4 linked regions of the Drosophila melanogaster genome follow. The protein of the gene in region 1 interacts with the protein of each later gene in a pairwise test. Each region holds a gene or a part of one and is shown on either strand. Other genes may lie near its edges.

Region 1 (5,034 bases):
TTCAGCGGGTGGCAGTGGCAGTGGTGGTCAGGGATCGGTTGCGCTGCCAAACCCCTCTGCTCCCGCCACTCCGGGCAGCAGCTCGTTGCCCTGCGACTCAAACTCCAATGCCCTAATGCTGGCCGAGGGCATCAGCTTCGGCAGTGTTCCAGCCAATCTCTGCACATTCCTGATCCAGCGCGCTTGCACGAACGCCACGCTGGCCAACTACTTCTACTGGTACTTGTCCATCGAGGTGGAGGAAGTGGAGTCGGTGAGGAAGCAGGACGAGAGGGCCCACGACATGTACGCCATGGTGCTCAAGATGTTTCTGAAGGTGCTAGAGAACGGTGGGTGTAATTTAACGAAATCATGGCTCATTCTCTAATTCCCTAATTCTCTAATCCGCTCATCCGCACAGGCAACTTCAACCTGAGAGGCATCTTCTACAACCTCCGGAAGCAGCGGCGCTTCATCGACGAGCTGGTCAAACTGGTGAAACTGGTGGCCAAGGAGCCGGGAAATCGCAATAAGAAGACTGAGAAGTTCCAGAAACTGTTGGCCGAACAGGACATGTTCAAGGTGAACTTCACCAACTTCGAGCCCATTCCGTTTCCCCTGGATCCGGAGATCTACATCACCAAGATCGTGCCCATGCGCACATCGCTCTTCAAGAGCGCCCTGATGCCAGCCAAGTACGCCATGACCAACCAACAAACTCTACTCACTCACTGAATACTTCAATCCTAATCCTTAATCCTATTCGCAGGCTCACCTTTGTCACTTCGATTGCCCATCACGAGTACGCGGCCATTTTCAAGCACGGTGATGATCTGCGCCAGGATCAGCTCATCCTGCAGATGATAACTTTGATGGACAAGCTGCTGAGGCGCGAGAACCTCGACCTGAAGCTGACTCCCTACAAAGTGCTGGCCACCAGCTCCAAGCACGGCTTCCTCCAGTACGTCGACTCCTGCACCGTGGCGGAGGTGCTGGCGCGGGAGGGCAACATCCACAACTTCTTCCGCAAGCATCATCCGTGCGACAATGGACCCTACGGCATTTCGGCGGAGGTCATGGACACCTACATCAAGAGCTGCGCGGGCTACTGTGTGATCACCTATTTGCTGGGTGAGACTAAAGGAGTGTAACCAGGTGGATTCCGCTAATCCTTGGAATTTCCTCGCAGGTGTGGGCGACCGGCACTTGGACAACCTCTTGCTGACCACCAACGGCAAGCTCTTCCACATCGATTTCGGCTACATTCTGGGACGCGATCCCAAGCCCATGCCGCCGCCAATGAAGCTGAGCAAGGAAATGGTGGAGGCCATGGGCGGCATCAGCTCCGAGCATCACCACGAGTTCCGCAAGCAGTGCTACACGGCGTACCTGCACTTGCGGCGGCATGCCAACGTGATGCTCAACCTGTTCTCTCTGATGGTGGACGCCACTGTGCCGGATATCGCTCTCGAGCCCGACAAGGCGGTCAAGAAGGTGGAGGAGAACCTGCAGCTGGGCCTCACAGACGAGGAGGCAGTGCAGCACTTGCAGAGCCTCCTGGACGTGTCCATTACGGCGGTGATGCCGGCTCTGGTGGAGCAGATTCATCGGTTCACCCAATACTGGCGGAAGTAGAGGACATTGCTTGCACAAGAAATTGTGGGAGGAGCGAGTAATCCTAGTTCGGTTCAGCTGAGTTGTTTAACATCAAAAGTGTACATTAGATTAATACCTTATACTTATCAATACTTATTAATATTATTTATCCTTTAAATCCTAGTCGTAAGTTTGCTTTAGTCGTAGGTGGCCTGTAGCTAAAAGTCCGTTGTGCGGAACCAAATGTATCCACATATACTATATATCTTGTCACAATTGTAGTATAACCATTTAATCGGGCAAACATGCAGGTGCGCTCCAAGAAGCCCGTTTGGTTCCTGTTCAAGATGATGGAGCTGCTGCTGAGCCTGGGCTGCTGCCTCGTCCATTGGACCTGCTTCATGGAGGAGGGTGTGCCGCACATCTTCCTGCTGTGCGGAACGTACGGCGGCTCGGTGATCATATGCTTCATATCACTGATTGGAGCTTTCTACGCCGAGCGGCCGACGATGAAGCACGAGGCGCTGTTCGGTGGGATCTTGGGTGGCCTGCACATGGTCACCGTGTACGCCAACATGTATGTGGCCACTTTGGAGGAGTTCCGCACTGAGCGCTGGCCCAGCTTCTATGCGTGCTGTCGGGACAACGCCATTGTGGCTCTGTACGCCGGCGCCATTTATCTGATGCACTGCACCTTCGCTCTGGATCTCATGTTCTCCCACTCACGCAGTCGGGCGAATCAGAAGATGCATCCACAGCGGAGCAAGCGACCACTGCAGCTGTACTTCATCAGCCGGGGCGCGGAGGCCTATCTCAGTCGCTTCTGGTTCTTTCGGCGCATCGCCGCCAGGATGCTGACCAGCGCCCAGCCATCGGAGCATTCCGGCCGGAAGCGGCAGGTCTCGTCCTCCGAGTCGGACTCGGATGCCAAGGAGAGGGAGGAGGAGCGGATTAGGAACTCGGAGGTTTTCAAATAGCTCAAGTAATTAAATATTAACGTTCACCTGCTCGTGTGCTCACTGTAGTTGTGCCTTTTGAAAGCCCGCTGCTGTGCAGCCCTGGCGCCATCAGCTGTTCGCCGCATAACAGCCCCGTCTCTTGGAGCGCGCGCACTTTGACAGCTGTTCGTTTACAGTTCCTTTGGTTCTTGGAAGTTTGTTTGGCGCGCCGCGTGTGATTTTCGTTACTTTTGCCGGAATTGTGTCGATTTTGTGGATTTTTGCATTGGTTTAAGCCTGCGGAGGAGTCCAGCTTTAATGACGATGGCGAACGGTGCGGTGAGTTGCGGGGGGAACGCACTGCGTCGTCCACTTCGCCATTGTGCGGATGCATGGCTGGAAATTTCTGTCTGCAAACTTTTCCGATTTTCATAGTTCGATGCGTGGTGGAAACTTCTGCGGGCGGCGCTCGAGCTCTGGGTCTGTGTGCCTGTGGTTTTAGTTAGTTGCAGGTACTCGTTGCTAAAACTTTTGCTAAAAGTTAGCCGTTGCCACTAAAGTTGCCGCCCGAGGCAACACAAACAAACGAAAAAAAACGAAAAAAAACGGGACTAGCACACTCGCGGCCATGTGCATATGAACACTTAGACGCCGTGCCAAAACGAAAGGCACAGTGGGCCTTGGCTAACTCTGAAGATTGGAATTCTTCCCTTCAAGAAATTCCAATTTCTAGGACTTTCCCAATTTCCATTCTGACTTTGGAAGAGGCGGAAAACTGAGTGTGTAATCATCATTTCCCGTTTTCGCCTTTACAATTCACTCGATCTGTGCAATGTTGTATAGTAGCAGCAGCAACAGGAATCTCTTATCGGGAGCACTATGCCACATGCCACTCTTCCCGAAGAGAGCCCACTGCAGCTGCGAGTGCGAGTGAGTGGGTGGGTGTGCTACTGGCGAGCGAGCGAGCGAGCATGACTCACCGCTGCCAACTGCACTCAACTTGGCCTTTGTTATTGTCTGTGGCTGCAAGCCATCGAGCCACCGAACCACCAGGCGGCCCAGCCCCAATCCACTCCCTCCGCCCTCCGCTGCTAGCCCCAATTCCCCGGTCGTGGTCCTTCGAGCCGGTCCAAATGCAGCACGTGTTCCATTCGGTGTGCAAAGTCAGTTGGAATGCCAAGCTGGAGTTATGTGTGCGCACTTGGGGTTGTGTGGGTGTGTGTGGAAAGCGTGTGCATCTGAAAGATACATTTTCTAGATCGCAGCATGTTTGGTTTAGTTGGCAGCTAAATTTCACTACGTGCAGTTTGCGGTGGGTGTTGGGCCCAAAGTCTCGGAATTTCAACTATGTTTCGCAACAATTTAGCCGGCTGGTGATAACGATAAAACGGCGAGTTTCCGAGTCGATTGAGTGAATAAGATTAATCGTTATGGTGATGAGTTCGTTACGATGAGATACAAAGGCTGAGATAATTAGAGCAAAAATAGGTGATTCATACATACATATGTAAGTTAGCTAACTTACTTGAAGTCAATGCATGCAGAATTGTCATTGTTTGTTGAACTTATCATATGGAAATAGTAGTAATTGTGGTTGAATCTTAGCTGGCAGCACGTTCCATTAATTGGTAATCGCTTTTGGCTTTTGGCGCACTCTTTTCGTTTCGCCTCATTTCGGATTCGTGGAACCCAAAGGTGGTTCGTCTATAATTTCACAATCGACCCATGGGTGGTGCACCATTGTAATTGAAGTCTTAACTCCGACTTCCTATGTGCAGTCGCTTTTAGCTGGAACTTTTCGGGCCGTCGACGAACCCAACTCCCTAAACGAAGGTTCCCATCGTAGCACCGGAGCCCCGTAAGCCCCCATCTCGGGTTTTGGCCCCAAAAACGCTGTGTACGTGCCGCTAGTTCAGCTCCATAGATTGTCCGGTGGTAATCAGTTTACGCTGACGACGTTTGCTACCACTTTCCACCGCCACCCCTCTGGCCACGCCCCTGATCATGCAGATACAGCTGGGGTCAGCCAACTAGGCGAAATGGTATAGGAACATACTTGAAATATGATTGTTACTAGCGTATTTCAGATTCAACAACTTAGTATTTGTGCTTCTACTCCATTGTTCAAACCCAATGTGGTTACTATATGATGGCCCTATAATGCTGACCCCGTCTGTGGCGCATTCATATTCAAATCCAAGTGCAAGTCGTGTAGCTACATGCGAAACTCTGTGTAAACCGAAGTGGCTCTCATTTATTTTTCGTTCAATTCTATTTCGCTGCCGTTCGTTTTTCATGAACCGATACTAACACGAGTGCTACTATTTCAGTTGGTTACTAAACATTTAGTGCCCCCCATACTCCCCACTACCCCTCCCCCTGCCCCTGCGGATAGCCCCGCGAGCATCGAGCGCAGCGGGCTGACTAAGCGAACGAGCTGAGCGAACGGCGGCGGACGAAATGTCGCGCCATATTAACCATATTGCGCGGTGCCAAAAGGGGGAAGGCTTTGCATACTGCC
Region 2 (4,966 bases), on another chromosome or scaffold:
ACAGTTCAATGCAATTCTATTAAAATTTAAATAAATATATATATTTTTTTTAATATTTAAACGTTTTTTGGTAAGACCCAATAACATTTGTTATACCCACCTGTGAGCACTTAAATTTTCCTTTCGTTTTAGTCACCTGCCCTCTTTCGATAGTCGCAACACGTGCCGAGTGCGATGCAAAAGGTCAGACATATGCAAACAAAGTACACTTTTTGCGCCATGTTTGCTATCTCTGTTCCCCCTTTATCCACTATGTACACCCCCTTTAAGCCGCCCAAGACCATCCCCTTCACACCCCCTTACCATTTGGTCAACTGGTGATGTTGTTGTTGCTACTGCTGCTTCTTCGTTGTAAAAGACATTGACATTTTTTTTTTGCTGACCGTTTGCTCAGTTGCTTTTCTCTGTACTTTGTTGTCGTTGTTTAATGGTTTTTATACATATTTTTTTTTTTTAGCCAGCTATTGTTGTTGGTAGCATCGCATTACGTCACTTTCACTGTAGTTTGCGGCTTAAGGCAGCCTTTCGGCTTTACGTTGTTGTTGTTGTTGTTGTTGTGTTGTTGTTGGCACTGTTTGCACTTGTTTTTGGTACAAACAAGCAAATTGCAATAAAAATGCTCGAAATTTATGGTCCACTGGCATACATACATTTTGTTTGGTATGATTTATCCGAGACTTTTGTTCGCCTTGCTTTCCGGCGGCACAATTTATGCCCGTTTACATGGTAAACTTTTGCTGTTTTTCCCAGTAGTTACCCGTTCATGCTTTTTGGTTCAAGTTCATCAGTTGGCCACCGAATTCGCAACTGGGATCAGGTTTTATGGTTATCGTCTTGATAGATGCGACGTTAAGTTCGCCAAGTTAGACTCGTATATCAGCAACTAGTTGGTAAACACTCATCACAAAGTTGATTTGAAAATATTTAACGCTGTAAGTTTGTTCATTGCGCATACGCCGTGTTAACATGTGGGTGTACCTACCACATTACGCATTCGCACCGTTTGCTCATAGAGCTGGGGCTTTGATAGATAAGAATCGGGCTGAAACAATGTCATTAGTCCAGTTAACGTGGCCTGACTAAACAAGCTAATTTCCCAGTTACCAAATGTCGGCAATTTTCGGTCAGTTATTTTGAATGAATCCAATCATCCGAGCATTAAACAATGTGGCCTCTGCAAAGTTTAGCTTTATTTTCATGTTTAGGAGCTCTTCAAGTGCACAGTGTGAGTTATTTAAATAAACCATAATTTTAATACATAAAGTACTACTTCTTAAGCAGATCAGACTGCGGCTTGAGCACTTTTATGTCAAATCTTTTGTACCAGATGATATGTTCGCGGAGTATGACATTGTCGACTATGAGAAAATCAATGTGAATCTCACAGTTCAAGTGCCCTTTCCTGGCAAGCTTCTCATCCACATTTTCGTAAGGAAGCTGTCAGATCAAGTTGGTGGTTCGAACTACTTCGATCTGATTCGCATGACGAACAAGGATCTCTGCAAGCTCCTCGATTCACTTCGCAATATTACAGTGGAGGAAATTCCGGGCGAAAGCCTTTTGCCCTCGACTTTTGTTGTCTCATGTCCTTTGGTTCCAGGCTTCTATTTTGTTGAGAATGGCGTTATTGATTCCAAACTGGTTCCTTTCCGCATTCCCGATGGCAGATACATGGTACTTTTTGAGCTGATACAAGTCTACGAGGAAGTTATGAAGCTGATTTCATGCAGAATCAAGTTTTCCATTAAGACACCACCTGGATACACGGAACCATCGCTGTTTAAAAATAGCGAGGAAAATAAAGCGACTGAGAAGCCAGTAGAGAAAACCGAAGAAGCAAGTACAGAGGTTACTCAGTCGAAAGAGGATAGTTCGGAAGTATCAAACGATTACGAATAATGTAATTTTTGTAACTTAAATTTTTTCAAATATATTATACATGGAGCCTCTCCCTTTTTTGCTAAATTTTTTCACCCAAAAAAACAATTTTTACACATTTTCTGCAAAATAGTACCATCTATCACCGAGTTTCGGGTGCGTAATAAAATTTATTATCTCCCACTAAAAATTCGCCGGGATTGAGACATATCGCACATGTTACAGCCACGCCCATAAATGTTAATTAAAAAACCCAGGGGCATGGGAAATATATCAAACATGAATTTAAACCGCGCGAGACAAGCCGACGACAAAGACTAACTCAAAGATATCCATTCAATCCAATCTTTTAATTTGTTGTCATGGTAAACTTTGTTTGTGATATCCATTCGACACGTATTTGTTTTTGTGGAGTACAAACTGTGGAATGTTTTTTTGAGCTGCGTTGACATTGTGGCGGCATTCTCGAAAGTTCGTTATTTACATATTTAGAGCAGGGCGAATGTTTCCGGTTTTCAGCTGCAAGATCGTCGTCAGCATCATCAATACTTGCACGATGACTGGGCAAAAAAAACACTTGGCCTCCGTACCAATCATATGTTGGTTTTTATACCATCGCCCAGCCCAAAATGGTTCCGTCGTTTAGCTTAACTTTTATTGATTTAGTATTCCACTCTACAGGCCTGACAGCTGTTCAAAGTGTCAAATATTTATGGATCCTCTGCTCAAGTGATAATTTATATTTTAATTGGCTTGACCACTGATCATTCGATCATTGGATCTTGAACTTCAGATTAACTTACCATTTGAATTGGGTGATCGAGGGGCTCTAGATACACTGAATTAGCAATTAAACTGCCTGGCATTACAATTTCCGCCTTCTTCCGGGTTTTGTTTAAATATTACTCCGCTGACCGCATTTGAGGTGACCTTCATTTGTCGATGTCTTCATTTACCCAGTCTGATTATTATTTAATCAACGATCAACTTCTTCAGTGGCTTAGCGAAGCAAACAAAAGATGCCACCACCAAGTAAACAGGGCAGCCTGGTTTTGCTGCTCGGTCCCGCTGCCGAAAAAATTGGCCCGAAAAAAAAAAAAAACAAAGCACCTGCCTCAACATGCCACGCCCCTTGAATCGTCTGCTTTTGGCCAGGTTTTTCTGTTTATACTTCTTTTTCGCTTACCGTCTTATTTATGCGAGACTCTTTTGTTTATGTATCGTTCATTTGTCCTCTTCTTCATTGCAAACTGCAGTTTACACATGACATTATCATCGATGGTCACCCAAAAGTTTGGCTATAAAAAGGCCTGATGCCAGATGGAGCCATGTGCAGTCGATATTTGGATTAATCAGCGTAATCATCTCCCCAGCAGCAGCAATCATGAAGTACCTAGCTCTGGTGAGTATTTGGATATAACATTTGGATTAATAATTGGATTAAATGATTTCCAATTAAGTGCAACATATGAAGTTGTTTGTTGAAGTATATTAAATTTTCAATTTGTACTAAAAATCTATTGTAATTCACATTTTTCAGACCATTTTCGTGTGCCTTATGGCCATCGCCCTCATTTCTGCCGTGCCCGTGGATGAGTCCCTGATCGGCGATAATATCTACCAGCCTGCCTTCGACGATGTCCAGCGTCCCCAGGATCCGCAGGCCATCTTCAAGCTGAAGAAGCTGCTCAAGTTGAAGAAGCTCCTGGGTTAGGAGAAATTCGCAATAAGCTTCGTTCAGATTCTAGTCCAGCCAATTGGGAACCTTGCCTCCCCCACTACATTCGATTTTCAAACCGTTTTGTTTAGACAATACCCAATAAGCACAAACACACAAACACACACAAAAGCACATACATACGAGTAAAGTATACGTAATCGTAACTAAAATAAATGTTATTTTCATACACGTCGGCTTTTCTTATATCATCGAAGCGTCGGGGATGAGATCTCCATGTGTGTCCAAAAAGGAGCTAATGACTGGCAGCGGGTCGGGTTTTTGTTTGCCTAGATCTGAATAAGAAACCCGTTTCGGATCGTTTCTGGGTAGAGAGTGTGAAAAGCGAACGGAATCTTCCTTACATGCGTATAAATATTGGCCAATCTCAGTCGTAAATGAATCAAGTGGGTTCAATGATGTGCTAATACAAGGAGCCCACTGTGAGATTAATGATCATACCTACTTTCATTAATTGGCATGATTAGTTAACTTGATATGCCAGTAATATTATAGCTTAACTAAATATAATATATTAAATATTTTCAAGTATCAAAATTATGTAAAAAGTAACGATAACTCATCACATATTGACATATTGAGAGCTGGTCACGAAAAATCGGACATGATTGCCATCAAGTTGAAGCACATGGTTCCAGCCTTTCAACTTACCATAAATTTTAACATTCAGGTGTATTAGTAGTATTAGGAATGATTTTAATGTGATCGTAAAAAAAGAAAATTATTTGGAATTGAAGGTTGGACCTCTTCAAACAAAAGACTTAAGAAGCGAACTTGTTTTTTTTTTGGGCACCATTTTGTTTTAACCTTGCAATAAAAAATGAATAAGTAAAGGTTTCGTTACCAAATACTTTCTTTAATTTCACTCTTGTTTTTCTTCTTAAAAACCTAAACACATGTTAAGTTAAACTATAAATCCATAAATGTGAGGGTGTGGTGTCTAGCCCAGGAACAGCAGCTTCTTGAGCAGCTTCAGCTTGAGCAGGAAGGATTGGTCGTCGGATGGGTTGACGGACTCACTGCCAGGACCTTCGAAGCCATCGGGAATGGCCTCCTCGCGAGGAGCAGCACTGGTGGCCATGAAGCACACGGCAAGGCAAAGGAAGACGCTCTGTAAAGGAAGGGTCAGTAAAGTTCCTTGGTATTCCGTGTCGATTTTTAGTGACGCACCAGGAGCAAGAACTTCATGTTGTATGTGGCTAGATGTATGTAGTAATCGATCGATGGATTCGCACTGCGCGTTGACAGACCTGCTTGCACTGATCACCAGACCCCGCCGACCCGTCTATTTATATGCCTGTTCAGTTGAGAGTGAGTTGCTCGGCCGGCAGACCGCTCGTCTTTCATAGA
Region 3 (5,228 bases), 1.3 Mb from region 1:
CCTGGAGCTCCTGCTGCCGCTGGCGGTACCGCTCCTGCTCCAAGAGCTGCCGCTGACGATCCATCTTCAGGTTGATTTCGTGCAGCTGTTGGTCGAACTGCTGCTGCAGCCGACGGCGGGCATACTGCTCCATCATCTGGGCCAGAAAAGCATACTCTTGCTCACTCTGCGGATCCATCACAGGCGGCTGAATGGGTCGGCGGCGCAATCCTGCAAGAATTCGGATTCGAATCGTATCAATGTCATCGGATTAGTGGGCACGGGCAGATGATTATGGTAATGGTAATGAGCCTGGGCTGCGTGTTAGGGATCGGAAAATAGAAAGTGAAATCGAAGTCGAAATAGAAATAGAAATAGATGGAATGGCCGAAATGCGGTGGTCTGCCTCCTACAGCCTTAAAGGATTCGAAATAGACAAACAAAAGTTCGTTTTATTGCCAGAGGCTAAAAATAGACCAATTACACACGCGCCCAGGTCAACCCGAGCAATTCCCGCAGAGTGAGGGAGACCAACATACAGTCGGAGGACTGGGAACCGAAGTCTGTGACGTGCGTGGCAATTCCATCGCACTTTGTTGTTTTCGTCGTGTTCAGCCCATTGTTGCGCTTGTATCAAGGAAGTATTTGTTATAGCTGTTGGGATGAACGGAAAAGCTTTAAGGCGCTTAAATGTATGCTACGAAAATCGTAGCTAATCCATATTACATATATTTATACCAAATGCATACATATGAATGTAAATTTCGAGTGGAGAATTTCGTTATTACCACTTATGTGTATTTATGTAGTTACGACGCTGCAGTTGGCTTGACTTTTTAGTTTTGCCGAAGCAATGAGCGTGGGTGTTTTGGTTTGATTCGGAGCACTTCGCAGGACTCGCCATGCATGTATCTAGTGCAGGGGATACACAAATCGAGGTGGCAGCTTTCCTTTCCTTTCCTTTCGCTCCTCCTGCGCCATTCAAGCCCGAACACTCAGGCTGCGTGTGTGGGTACATGGGTGTACGGGCTTATAGGTGAATGGGTGTGTAGTGCGCTATTTTTAGGCTTACCTGGGTAAACGGACATTTCGCAATGACCCAATATGCTGCACAGTAGCGTTGCAGCGAGCGCCAAGCTAACGGTGATTTCCAGGCGAGCCGCCATCTTGCACTTGCCACCAAATGCACTCCCACTTGCGGATTTCTCGAGACCTCAGAAATCAATTTCGAATGGGAACTATCTAGCACTGCACGACCTCTGCCACCACTGCCATATGGCCGGTTAATGGGGCTTTGGCTAGAACGACGACGTCGACGAGGGTTATTGATTTTCAACACCCACACTCGCACACACTTGCGAATATATCCAATTGGCAGCTGCTGGTGGTTGCTCCCCGAACTTTTGCACTTTCGCGTGGGCGTGCAATATTTCTGGCTAGTAACCTGCGCCAACTGCACTTCTCGAGGATTTTTGGGGGTTATTAGGTGTCCTAGCAAAGGTTATGCTGCACTCTACCGGGTGGTTAAAATGTCAAATGGTGCACTTTTCTCACAGATTGCTGGCGAAGAAGCTCAGATGGACATATGGCTGTGGGGATATATGCGGATGGGACTCGACTCCTGGGCTGCGTTGCTCCGCTGTCGACGTATACCGTTATACTGAAGAAACTGAATGAGCCTGGCGGCGGCAAAAAGCCCGAGAAGAAGCAGAAGCTGTGACGCAAATGTTAGGTTCGCCCCCGCGCTGTTAAATGTTGCGGGCAGCTTTTGAGGGCAGGCCGCGCAGCAACAACAACAACCAGAGGGGCACAGTAGTCAAAAGCAGCGCATGCGCACAGTGGGGCTGAAAAGCTCGGCACGTCCGTTCCTTTATTCTTTGAGTAAACACGGGCATTCATAAAGAGCCGAGACGAGGCCAAGGAGACTCTCGGCCAGCTAGCAGGTGGCTGCCACTCACGAATTCCGAAGCCCCGTCAGCCAACTCCACGCCCGCTTTGGGAGAACCCTCCCTTTCCTCCAGCTTCCTCGCTTGGGATAGGGCGTGCTTAATTTTTATCAATGAATTGGCAGCCAAAGAGCTTTTCTCACCGGCAAAGGACTGCGGGAGTTATGGTAGGCCGAATAGTGTATGTGTAGCATTGGTCCTGATGTCCGAATCGGTTGGGAGAAATACCCCCAAGTGGATCTCGGATTCTTACGCGAAATGATTTCGTAACAGATTATCGGGGAATACTCATCTTTTCCTTGCTTTCTTTTCATTGATTAGTCGTTGATAAACGGACTTTTAAAAGACATTTAATAAAAAAGCTTTTAAAAACTTAAAAACCAAAGGTAAGTCCTTTAATAAAGCATTTCATGGAGGTTCGGAGAAAATTAGCATATAAATTGAAAATACATTTAATTAGACCTGGAAGAATTTAAAATCGAATTTAATAAATTATTTTTAACGGTATATACTAGAATCGGTATATTACGTTTAAATAATTTTGAATGGTCATGTTTCGGTCATACTGATGAACTGGTTCATCTGGAACTACACATCTGAGTCATTTTTAGGAGCGACAAAGGAAAAATTATAAACAAATACAATGGCCACCTTAAAGGGTAATTATGCACAACAGTCTCTAGCAAATCTAATGGCTTACATTCTTCGCCTACATCAACACCAACTGGAACCCGCTACACGCCTCTTTTGAAACCATCACACAGCGTATGTCTACAACTACACCCACTCCTGCAGCCAACCGTCTGATAATGATTCCCCTCTTTGTGCAGCCTCTTCATCTGCGCCTTTCTTACATGCATTGGTGTTACCTTCCTGATCCTGGCCTGCGCCGTGCCCACGACAAAGATTTTCTATCCCTTCTTCGTTTTGCTGTTCTACGTGCTGTCAGTTCTTCCAGTCTTCATTGCCAGGAGGACAACTCCTGGAAATGAGACCAATCCGAAATCGGAGTTTGCTCACTTCCTTACCGCGGGAATGGTGCTGAGTGCCTTCGCCCTGCCCATCGTCCTAGCCCACGCATTGGTGGTAAGTGGACACACGGAGCTATTGGGATTTTAAGAGTGTTAAACACGCGATGTCATTCTTAACAGATCACCTGGACGGCGAGTATCCTGACGATAATAAGTAACATTATTAACTACGGCACCATCTTCTGGTACGCCATGCGCGATGACGAGCCATACGGATCCATGTTCTAGAGGGGATTTGTAGTTCACAAGCTCACTAGGCTAGTAACCGGCGCAGGAATATCACCGATGCACTGGGTCCTAGGGTTACGGCCATTTATCCGTAAGCACGCATGCTGTTCGCTTATCCGCAGTCATCAACAAATCTCATATAATCAAATGTATCCAGATAAACGCAAACAAAATAAACTGACGTAGTAGACATTGTCTGGTTCCGGTTCTTTTTGCTGGTTCGATATCGATATCTAAACCACTATTCCATAAGCAGTAATTCTCTCCACTGGCGTATCAAGGAGGGATTAGCTCTCAGTTTTCACTCACTTAATTGAACTGGAAATATTTATAGTCGAAAAAAAATAGCCTGGATGGTGTTCATTTGGCTGCACTGGAACTAGGAACAAGCATTCAGTTGTTAAATATACAAATTTGTAAATATCCTTGCTGGATAAATGAATAGCGGTGTGGCGTTCCTTTTTTCATTGGCGAAAGTACACGTCCTTTGACAAATGGAGTTACACCTCATTTGAGCCCATAACATGGACAGGATTATAAAATCTGAAATCAAGAAGGAACAGATCACGGGTATTCCTTCGGTGGCCCTTCATGGCATCGAGAACTCGATGCAGGACGATAGAGATGTCAACACTGACGTGGAGGAGGACTTCACGGAGGAGGAGTTGGAGCTATTCACAGATCAGGATTCAGACACGGGAGATTCTGATGTGTCGCTCACGCAGCCTGAGGCAGCGCGCAGTGTGCTTTTGAGCAATGCTCCTATGCGCAAGTACCCTTTTAAGCTGAAGCAAAGCGAATCTGGGTGAGTATGCGCTCTAGGCACATTGCGGAGTTGTTGCCAACGAAGTTTGCGAATTCCAGGAACGTCCTAACCGTTCACCACACGATCAAGGAAGCAGGTCAGGCACTGCGCATCCAGATTGCCGCCTGCTGCTTCAACGAACTTAGCAACAAGCTGGTGGTAATAGACAAGCGGTAAGGTTGACAGGGGAAACAATAACGTAATACTCTTTTAAACAGTCTTTTTTATTTCCCAGTGGCAATGTTTTCGTCTTTGACTTTGTACGCAAACGCTACTGGCGGCTGGGATTCCGGATGCCCAAGGCCAAGCTCATTCGGCCATCCCCTCTGCACGGTAGCGACTACATTGTAGGCAATAAAACGGGCCACATTTTCACCATAGACGTGGACAACTCAATTCTTGGGGTCGACGGAGAAGTGGGAAGCGCAGCGCTTGAGGAATTGAGTTGGAGCAATAGCCTGCAGAATGCACGCTCCTCTATCGCTCTGATGCGTTTCGGCAGCGATGCACTTCTGGTGAATCTCCATACTCTGGAGGTTTCCCATCAGCTGGATTTCGATCAGTCGCGCTACACGCTGAAGTTCGCTGCCTTCCTGCCCCACTCGGACCAGTTCTTTATAGGGTTTTCTAACGATTCTCTGCATGTGTGGTCCTCGCATTCATTGAGCACTTTGCGGATGGGCCAGCCTATCAAGGCCAGGAATCGCAAACTGAGACTGCTACCAGCCGCAGAATCTATACCGGAAATAGTTCTCCGAAGCCCGGATGACAGTGACTTGGAGGAGGACTTGACGTTTGACTGCCAGCACTACGACTTTGCCGATGGAATGCTACTCAGCTACTGCTTCACCCCCGACGGCAACAAGATGTGCCTTAGTACCTTGGATGGCTATCTTTTATTGCTGAGCGTGGCCTCTTTTGATCTGGAAAAGATGTACCGCTTGACGGACTTTACTCTCCACCAAATGGCTTTCCTCTCGCAGCCAAAGGAGCGCATAGTGTTTGGAATCACCACCAGAAACCAAGCGGTCATGCTGGATTTAGCCAATACGGATCACAAGCTAATTGTGCAGCGCTCCAATGCACGAAGTTTGAGTCTGAGTCGGGATGGCAAGCTGTTGAGTGTAACGTCTCGCTGCGGAGAAGTCAATGTGTGGTCCACGTGCCGCATTTTTAACGCCCTGCAAGCTCAGATCCGCTGCCTCAGCCAGGTGAAGTCCACTTTCAAACAACCGAATC
Region 4 (9,615 bases), about 12 Mb from region 1:
ATCACGGTGCTGGTAATGTGGGCGCCATCGAAACCAAAGCAGGGAATGGCATTGATCAACGCCAATCCTATGCTGAAGACCACGTTATACTTGAGGAGCAGCAGCCAGGCATCCGGCCAGGCTGCCTTTAATAAGCTATATCTCGGCACAAAGGCGGATACCTCCACAGTTCGAGTGACATCCCATGGATGGCCCACATAGATCACCGGCGGCAGCTTCTCTCCGCGAAAATTCTGTCGCTTGAACGTCATTATGGCAGTGATATTTCGTATAAGCGGTCGTAGGCAGAATCCCTCGTTGCAAACTCCGGACGAGCAGTGCTCGGAGACCTCCTCCAAAGTGCGGCGCACATTGAGACATACATGCTGCGGCAGCTCCACCGGCACATCTCCATTTGCGTCCTCCACCACCTCGAAGCAGCTTACGTTCGGATTTAGTTCATCACAGCACTGTAGCTGACCATCAATGCTATGATGTGAGATGGCGCTGCTTTCGTCGTTAAGCTGCACGAAGTCCGCACTCACACAGTAGCCCGGCTTGAGCTTCAGAGAGTTCTGCAGGCATGTCACCCAACTCTCCTCGCTGTTTACTGGGCAGCCGTTTACTTGGGTTATTTGATTGTCCACTTGCAAGCCGCGCTCTCCCCTCAGCGGGGATTTCCTTGTTAGTTCAGTGACCACTACGTGTTGGTTGTAAGCGTACAAAGGTGACATAGTGATTCCCACCGTTGAGATTAAGAGATAGCACACGCCAGCGAACACAAAATTATGCCAGATTCCAGCGCACAGAACACGTAGCTTGCGGAACCAACGTAGACTGTTTAAGTGGTCGTGGGAGAGCTCCGTGTATGCTAACGGCAGGCAGAAGATGAACTGAAATATTAATATTTACCTAATTAGTAAGCGTATTAGGTTGTAAAGTACGCTATATCATTCTAACCTTTATTCCAAACCCGGTGACAGGCACATCCTCCATCACAGCGGCCAGGGCGTGTCCCATCTCGTGCACCACCAAGCAGAGCACAAGGGTTGTGATGTAGTATCCGATCTCCTCCAACGGCAAGTTGACGCCGGGCAGTAGAATTTCCAGCTGCACAGGGACTCCAACGGGCGAGGATACAGACGAAGAGCTGTCTTGTTCACCACTGCTGAAGATAGTGGCAATGAGCAGGATCAGACCGATCGGGAGCAGAGAAAAGGTGACCAGGACTCCTACATTAAAGCTGGTGATCATTACTCTCCGGGTGCAGCTGTTACCGGCAGATCCCCAGCGTAGGAGGGTCCTGTTAAAGGCACTCGTGTGCCAGTGGAGGCTCATGAAATTTATACTCAGCCCGGTGTTCTTGAGGAAGGCATCGTACGGGTAGTGCATGCAACTCTAAGGGATTACATTAAGTATCTGGACGTACTTTGGCTGGATATACTACACCTTGAAGAAGCGGTCGAAAAAGTAAAGAACGCCATAAAGCGATGCCAGTACTATGAAGAACACGAAGGGATCCATGGCTGGTGAGGTCTCAAGATGTCATTGGTTTGTTGGGATTAGGATGGTGATGCGGATTCTACAGTTGGGGGTCCTCCGGTTGCTGGACGTCACTTGCGAATGCTAGTAGTCCCTACCGGACGGGATTCCTTCCCGAAATCTTACTCCTCTGGTCCCGACTCCTTATACCAGCAATGCTGTGTAGTCCAGACCAGAAATCAGCATTAATCACGTCTGGGAATCTTGTGCGCAAATTAACCTGCGTAAAAAATCGAAATACCAAAAGCTAATCGCAATCGATTGCAGAACTTATCGATGGCCGCTTTATCAATAATACCGATAAGCAAGCTTATTTGGGCGCGAAAGTTTTGAACATTTTCAACTATTCAACGTCAAACAAAGAAAACTGTTGAACAACTCAAAAACAACAATTAAAATTTTTTTATGAAAATGATTTGCTTTCAATATAAAAAAATTCAAAATCCATTGTGTTAAGTGACTTAAAATACATCAAACACATGAGCGAACAGGAATTCTCATATAAGAGACTTTTGCCGACTTGCAGGCTGATCGTCTCCATTATGGCCTGCGTATCCTGTATATCGGGCGTGGCTGCCGGCTATCTTTTCATGACCAGTTTATCAGGTGTCTCTGAAGCGGTAAAGATTGTGTGGACCACCGGATCGGCTCTCTATGCATTATCCTCGCTCCTGTTGATTATTGCAGTTTGGAAGGTTAACCTGAAGCAAAATTAATTGAGGAAATATTCTTAAGAATCCTGTGATTTTGCAGTTCATTAAATGGCTGGCCTATCCATACATGTGCATGCTGCTCATGGCCATTGCCGTCTACACGATGATCCTGCAGTGGCTACTCAAGAACCTACCGGCTGCCGTTTTCTCATCTGTGGCCATCAGCTTTATATTTCTTGGAGTGGCGTTGAACATGACCAAAAGCCTGGAAGAACTACGCACTTCTCTATAGAGCAATGCAAAGTGTTCTCGTTTAGTTTTGGATTTATATTATAAATTTGCCGTGCAGTAATCAAGAGCAACGAATACACCTACTTTGATTAAAATTGAAAAATTATAGGTATATGAAAATCTAGCATGAGAAATTGTAAAGTTACATTTGTTAAATTTGTGTGACTTTAATTCGTAAGGCAATTCGTAATTCATTCATCAGCTGTTTTCAGAAATAAAAGTAGGTGGTTCTGGCAACAGGCGGCCAAAAGAACCTAGCAAAACAAAACGGATGAAAACCAATGGAAAGGAAGAGAGGACCTCTTACTCTTGTTTTTCCTTTTTCCATGCCGAAACTCACCACCACCAAGTTCACCTTAACTGAGTTGGGTTTTCAATGGACCTCCAGAGGACATGAGTATCATCAGTTTAGTCGTGAGCTTGAGCAGCAGCAGAACAGTCGCATCCGCCAAAAAGGGCAACAAACGAAGAGTACTCACGAAAAATAAAAAGGCTTTTGCAAAGGGTTTTCCCAATCAGAGAAAGTGTTCAATAGCTTCAGGCGTATTTTTAACCAATTTAACTCACTGGAAGGATCCAATTCGTTCGATTGTGATTGAGTAAGCTAAGAACAAAGGACTTCAGCTGGAATCTCGCCCCATATCGATTTGTTCCAAAAACTGCATATTCGCCAGCGAGTGAGTGAGAGAGTGCGCTTGTGCCGAAAACGGATACGGAAGGGGGCGACAAGGAAGCGGAAGCGGAAACAGCTGCTGCATAAACAATAGTAACAGGGAATACTGTGTGTCACATCAACGCATCATGACGCCAGAGCAGCAAGGATATTGCCCCTAGGAAAACCCATACAAGTTCCTCAAGGAAGCCCTCAAGAAAAAGCGAACGAAAATCGCAATCGATTCGGAGAACAAACCATCAAGACGAACCCGCAAAGGATTCAGTGCCAAAGGAGCCGTTCCGGCAGAAGCAGCAGTAGCAAGAGAGTATTTATTTTGGGCCAACCGGTGAAGGCCCGCGAACGTCAGCTCTTCAGGACTTTAAGGACCCAAAGCAGAGGCAACCCAATGCATTTGGGTGCACAACAACAACGCCCCAAGCAACAACAACAACAGCGCGAGCAACAAGAGAAACATCAAAGGCGTTTCACGTTCAGTAAAGGACGGCAATGTCGTCCCTACAGCGTGACTGGCATTTACAGGTGAGTAGTACTACCCAGCATCCCATTATCCTTACTTTGGGAAGGTCAGGAACCATCCCCCTTGATTCCTCCTCGCTGCCTTTTCTGGGGAGTGGGCCAATGGCAATCGTATTGAGGTAGCTGGAGTTTGGGTTCCTCTGGTGAGCATGCGCACTGGACCAGAGAGTGTTTTACGAGTACGTAAACATTGCAAGCGACAGGAGAATGGGTCAACGTCACAAGTTGCATCCATCTTAGTCGCTTTAGAAGAACGGGGACAAGAAAGTAAACAATACATGCCCCGACTGCTGATGGAAAGACCGAAAACCACAAGCCAAAGTTCAGTCGTGGCATGGTGTTGACCTTTAATGACACCTATTAAATCGAATAGAAGTGTTCATTTCTACTAGTTTTGACACAAATGAAAAGTAACTTTTTATTATGCTTATAATTATACTTACACTTACAATCGTTGATTTTGTAAACACTTAAAACATGAATTTTGAGCCAAATTTAAGTAGGTGTTTACACTCGCATATGGGAGTACAGCATCCCTACACTTAAGCATCAATGTCCTGCTGATTGGGTGAACTAATTGGCCTAGGCCTGTGCAACCTAATATCTATTATTACGGAGGGCTAGCAATTACGGGTGGCTCAACAAGTTGTGCGTCAAGTCCTCCCCACTAGATTCCCTCCCCGACTAGATACCACCCTCGACCAGCCGACTTGAGGCCACCCCTTTCACCTTGACCGCTTATCGTTCAGGCCCACACACGAGCGCCAACTAACTTGGCCCGGGGGAAGGTTCTTCCGTTTCATTAAGCGCTGGCAAAGGCCTTGAAATGTTGGGAAATTGAAAACAACCAGCGATTGCAGAGCTGCCCCAGCGAAAGCTTCCTGACAGCTTAAGCCGGATTCCAGCTGACAGCAGAGGGTGGTCTTGGGGGTTCTTGGCGTCCAGGATATCGTATACCATCGCATGCCACGGCGACGTGGGCCTTTGACATTCGACAAGGTCACTGGCTCTAGGATGCTGTGACTCATGCTCTTGAGGGGGAGTTGCCAAATGCCAAGAGTTGGCCAACGCTCATTAGTCGTGTCAGATGTGTGACTGCATTTTGCACTCGTTCAAGAATATTGCATGCCATCTATTTGGCATATTTCTACCATCAATATGGCTGACAGTTCATAAGCGGCACGAAGTTCGACAAATGACATGCCACGTAAACAAAAGACAAATTTATTAAATTTACTTTCAAAGTTAGAATTCAATTATATAAATTTACTTGGCTTTATTAAGCATAAGTGATGTTATGATTTGTTACATTTACCATGCAATATTTATTCGTTATAATAATTATTGATTATTTGCTCATTAAGAACTGACATGCTTAGATAGGATACTTAAGTAAAAGCAAATAAAAAGGTTGACTAAGGATAGAGCGCTTCACCTAATATATTGTGCATAGGTTTAACCAGCGTTGGGCACCAATCCTTCTTTCTAATGGGCACACACGTCGCATACTTGATATTTGATGCCAGCAATGTATCATATTTCGTATACGTACGTCATTGGAAGTACCAAGAAATAGGTGGGAGCGGGACAACTAAGTGCGAAATAAGAAGCTATTAGGAAATGAGTTATTACGAACTGTTGGTTATAACAATAAGATTGCGACAGCACATAAATATTAAGGGGGCAGGTGTTGAAATCTAATTAGGAATAGTTCAATATGAGGTAAAAATATTAACTGTGCACATATAACATAAAGTTTTAAATGTATATATTAGTTAGTATGTATAGTTGAGCTGTTGGCATGGCTGTAAACCCAATAATACCTTACATCAACTTACCGAATTTCGTTTTTGACTGCTTTCCAATTGTGTCCTTTCTACGAGGGCTTGGCAAAGATTGGCGTCTTATCAGCACGGGTATATTTCCTGGCATTAGCCTTCGGTTCGAGCATTGCATCGTCCTTGGATTGGAGCAAACACCCACCACTGCTCCTTTGGGGCCAATCGAACCCCCCATCAATTTCCGGCAACAAAGACAGAAACTAAAAAAGTGCTGAAAGGCAACCGCATGCCAGACCAGACCCACCTCGCTCTTGACCCTGAGTCGTCGGAAAATGGAGGTTTCGTGGGAGGAAGTGGCAGCGGATCCCGCAGACAAATGGAAAATTCCCAGACGTCATGCCAGCCCGCAAGGCACAGCATGCACCTGCAGCCTGGCATCGATTTAACAAAGTACATATAACAAGAAAATCCGCTCGGTCCGCGGGTAATTACATAGCCCAGCGGAGCGGGAATCGGGAAGGAACTGGATGTTAACTCAATTAAACAAAACGTATTGCATACATTAGGTCGTTGCAGCGATGTCGTCTATAAGGCGGCAGATCGCGTGCGCTCCTCGCATTTCGTTTAGCAATGCAAATTGGGCTAAGTTGTTGCTTCCTTGACCCGCCTCCAGTCGATTTGTCAACAGCCCCGGATTTCTGACGGGGTTTAACCCATTTTTGAATGCTACGGCGGAGGCGGAATTTTTGGATGCACGCCAATTTGGGACATTAACTTTTGATGTCTACTACTTGATAAGAACTTTCGCAATTAAATTGGCCCATTTTCTTGGGTTGCTTACTTCGTTAACTTGTTATGTTATTTAATTGTTATTTAAAAAAAACATCCCTCCATACTCCATACTCCATATCTTAAACACACTTTCATAGATTTATATTAAATATTGCACTAGATAACCAGCATATTTAATGTTTAACGATACAAAAATACTATTTATGTTTTTCGCAGGGTTCCCGGGGATCGGTTTACTGCGCGAGTGAACCGGACCCAACTGGTGGAGTCCAGTACGAGTCGGGAGGGTGCCTTCTCCACACGAAGACGGCTGAGGGCTCCGGCGGAGGGGCGGGCGTGGACGGGTCCGGTGGCGGAGTCGGCCTCGAATGCGGCTCCCTGTTCTCGGTGGTATCAGCGCCGCCGGCTCCACTGCCCGACATCGTTGTGCCCACCGAGATGGATGGCAAACACATGGAGTCCGCCGCCTTCCGCTCCGGATGCTGTTCACCCAACGCCTCGCCCATGCGACGACCCGCCACCCTCAGCCTGGACACGCAATGCTGCCCGAGGACCCTGCACGCCAGCCTGCTGGAGCATCAGATCTCCGAGCTGGAGGAGGACGACAATGAGAACCTGCTGACCGTGTCCAGCATCACGGCGCGACCGTTGATTGCCAAATCGCATGAGCTTCGCAGCAGTCGGAAGTCGGGTTCAGGTTCCGGATCTGGTTTGAATACGGCCCGCAGCAGGTGCGTCCGCCGGGCCAAGGAGCGCGAGCGGGATCGCGTGACCGTCGCCAGGCGTAGCAAGCAAGTGGTCAAGGATCGGGACTCCTCAACGACCACAACGGAGAGCGGTGGTCCGAATGTGGAGCCACCGGACGGCGGTTACGGTTGGTTCATCGTCTTTGGGGCCTTCTCCGTGCAATTCTGGGTGGCCGGACTGGTCAAGTCGTACGGCGTGCTGTATGTGGAGATTATGGAGACATTTCCCAGCTCTACGGCCACCGTGGCCTCCTGGATTCCAGCGATCCTGTCGGCTCTATGTCTGGTCCTGGCCCCGCTGTCCAGTGCTCTTTGCCAGCGATTCTCCTGCCGAACGGTGGTCTTCGTCGGCGGCATTTTCTGCGCCATGGGCATGATACTGAGCTACTTTGCCACCAGTCTGCTGCACCTCCTCCTAACATTTGGCGTACTCACAGGTGCATAATGTATAATCAATTTAAATTTATCCTCATCACATTAGTAATTATATTTATTTAGTTATCATGATGTTTATATTTAACTATTTCTTCACGCCCAGGTATTGGAGGTGGCCTCTCGACTACTCCGGGCATAGTGATAGTGTCCCAATACTTTGACAAGCACCGTGCATTGGCCAATGGAATCTGCGTTTCGGGCACTGCCGCCGGCAGCTTCATCCTACCCGTTCTGATAAAGCACCTCGCGGAGAACTGTGGCTTCCACGGCACTATTCTGATCCTGGGCGGTTGCATGCTTCACGTGTGCGTTTCGGCCACACTTTACCGCCCAATCAGTGCTTACACGGATCAGGACTCGGGCCAGGGACAGGAGGAGACGGCAAAGCCCCTCAACGAAGACATCAATCCGAGCACCACGGGCATTCTGACTACATCCACCTACCTAGACACCTGCGATGTGGGTGCAGGCCACGAGCTGAGCGACAAGTTTATCGAGCATCTGTTCCTGGAGGAGTCCAAGAACCACCTGAACTACTATGCCAGCAAGCAGCCAGGTGGGAGTATTATTTCATCGAGGAAAACTCCAAATAATAAATCCCATTTGGTTACTTAGCCCAGGACAAGTCAGCGCAGGAGAGTGACGACGAGGTAAAGGATATTATTGGCGAGACCACTTTCATCAAGCCCATGAAGAAGGTGCGCAGTTCCGGATTGCTGCACTCCGTCGAAGATCTGAGCACGGACTCCACTTGGGTCTATCGCAAGCACTCCGGCACGGACTCCAATCGCGGAAGTCGTCGTCGGCGCAATGTCTTTGCCAACGACGAGGTGATATCCAAGATACAAGCCCACTTGGAGAAGCCTCTTTCGCCGCCGAGTGTGGTCAGTCGCGGACTCAGCAAGAGCATGGAGATACCCACTCCGGTTAGCAACCTCAGTGATCTCAAGCAGCAGCCGGTGGAGCAGGCGGAGCTCGGCATTCTAGACTCCCAGCTGGTGGAGTCCATTATCGATGGCGACGGCCACCTTGCCGCCGATGAGGATGACGATGACGACGAAGAGCGGGGACCACGCACTTGCTGCGAGCGCATCGAGATGTACCTGGACATCAGTCTGCTGCAGGACCCGAGCTTTATCCTGATGTGCCTATCCGTCACCTTGATGTCCGTCGGCTGTCCCTACATGTTGTACTATCTGCCCGCCCACGTTATTTCAATAGGTATACTATTTAAAATGTTCAAAGTATATTCTTTCGGCGTACGATTTTAAATATTATAAACTTGGTTCATCTTTAGGATACAATAAAAGTGAGGCGGGATACCTGGTGGCCATCAGCGCGGTCCTAGATTTAATTGGGCGCCTTGGACTTGGCTGGCTGTGCGACCTGCAGCTATTCGATCGCAAGAAGACCTACACCTTGTGGTGAGTACCAGATAAGGTTTATTTTTCGATCCAAACTAATCACATTTCCCTATATCGACAGCATTTTGGGCGCCGGATGTGCCGTGCTCACAATTCCCTTCGCCAAGACTCTGGTTTTGGTGGGTCTATCGGCCGCTGTCTACGGACTTTGCCTGGGTAGCTGGTATGTACTTATGCCGGTCCTCCTTGCGGACGTCTTTGGCACGGACAGGATCAGCTCGAGCTACGGGCTGGTGAGGATGTTCCAGAGCATCGGGGCCATATCGGTGCCTCCGCTGGCAGGACTGATGCGAGACCTTTCCGGAGACTACGAGATATGCTTCTACTGCATGGGATCCTGCATGGTGCTCGGGACCACTCCGCTGATTGTGTGGTCCATCCTGGAGGCCCGCAACCATCGGTTGTTTGTTCAGCGCGAGGAGGAGGAGTGCGAGGAGGCCTAGAAATGATTCGGATTCGTTGGTTGCCCCATATGTTAATAGTGTTTTAGTAGCGATCAAATACTAGTTGAGTTCCTGAGTTTCAGAGTTCGAATGCCTCACCGATATTGCTGATTCTACCAGTTACTATTACTACTATCCGTACGTTCTCATCCGTATCTTTGTATCTTAATCAATCCCCATGCCCACCCGCACCCAATCGCTTGTTATCCTTCCGTTGAGCAACAGCAAAAGGATGTGTAAGATGATGATATTCAAACGAAGAAACCAAACAACCTAAACAACCAACAACTGAGCACCAAATGTTGCGCAAAAAGAACTGAGTTTAAAAGACATGAAC

The links.
Region 2: the proteins of CG30184 (region 1) and CG15212 interact in a two-hybrid assay, tested with the Drosophila melanogaster proteins (one large-scale study listed by BioGRID).
Region 3: the proteins of CG30184 (region 1) and CG30423 interact in a two-hybrid assay, tested with the Drosophila melanogaster proteins (one large-scale study listed by BioGRID).
Region 4: the proteins of CG30184 (region 1) and Sln interact in a two-hybrid assay, tested with the Drosophila melanogaster proteins (one large-scale study listed by BioGRID).

What each region holds. Positions count from the first base shown.
Region 1 is NT_033778.4:23,562,199-23,567,232, forward strand, and holds CG30184 (uncharacterized protein), read left to right. Parts: upstream 1-1,774; 5' UTR 1,775-1,880; coding exon 1,881-2,552; 3' UTR 2,553-2,582; downstream 2,583-5,034. Other genes in the region: Pi3K59F (phosphatidylinositol 3-kinase 59F), read left to right, coding at 1-329, 401-674, 749-1,110, 1,169-1,614.
Region 2 is NT_037436.4:5,128,342-5,133,307, forward strand, and holds CG15212 (uncharacterized protein), read left to right. Parts: upstream 1-3,203; 5' UTR 3,204-3,262; coding exon 3,263-3,280; intron 3,281-3,418; coding exon 3,419-3,592; 3' UTR 3,593-3,786; downstream 3,787-4,966. Other genes in the region: CG4597 (uncharacterized protein), read left to right, coding at 1,166-1,225, 1,282-1,899; CG15213 (uncharacterized protein), read right to left, coding at 4,557-4,727, 4,787-4,804.
Region 3 is NT_033778.4:24,873,121-24,878,348, reverse strand, and holds CG30423 (uncharacterized protein), read left to right. Parts: upstream 1-2,483; 5' UTR 2,484-2,568; coding exon 2,569-2,584; intron 2,585-2,689; coding exon 2,690-2,690; intron 2,691-2,755; coding exon 2,756-3,011; intron 3,012-3,076; coding exon 3,077-3,184; 3' UTR 3,185-3,373; downstream 3,374-5,228. Other genes in the region: CG44247 (uncharacterized protein), read right to left, coding at 1-210, 1,052-1,145; CG16896 (uncharacterized protein), read left to right, coding at 3,709-3,989, 4,049-4,162, 4,225-5,228.
Region 4 is NT_033778.4:11,842,451-11,852,065, forward strand, and holds the start of Sln (silnoon), read left to right. Parts: upstream 1-2,873; 5' UTR 2,874-3,627; coding exon 3,628-3,660; intron 3,661-6,446; coding exon 6,447-7,413; intron 7,414-7,514; coding exon 7,515-7,967; intron 7,968-8,026; coding exon 8,027-8,632; intron 8,633-8,708; coding exon 8,709-8,835; intron 8,836-8,896; coding exon 8,897-9,278; 3' UTR 9,279-9,615. Other genes in the region: S2P (site-2 protease), read right to left, coding at 1-872, 940-1,377, 1,429-1,503; CG43190 (uncharacterized protein), read left to right, coding at 2,064-2,216, 2,275-2,466.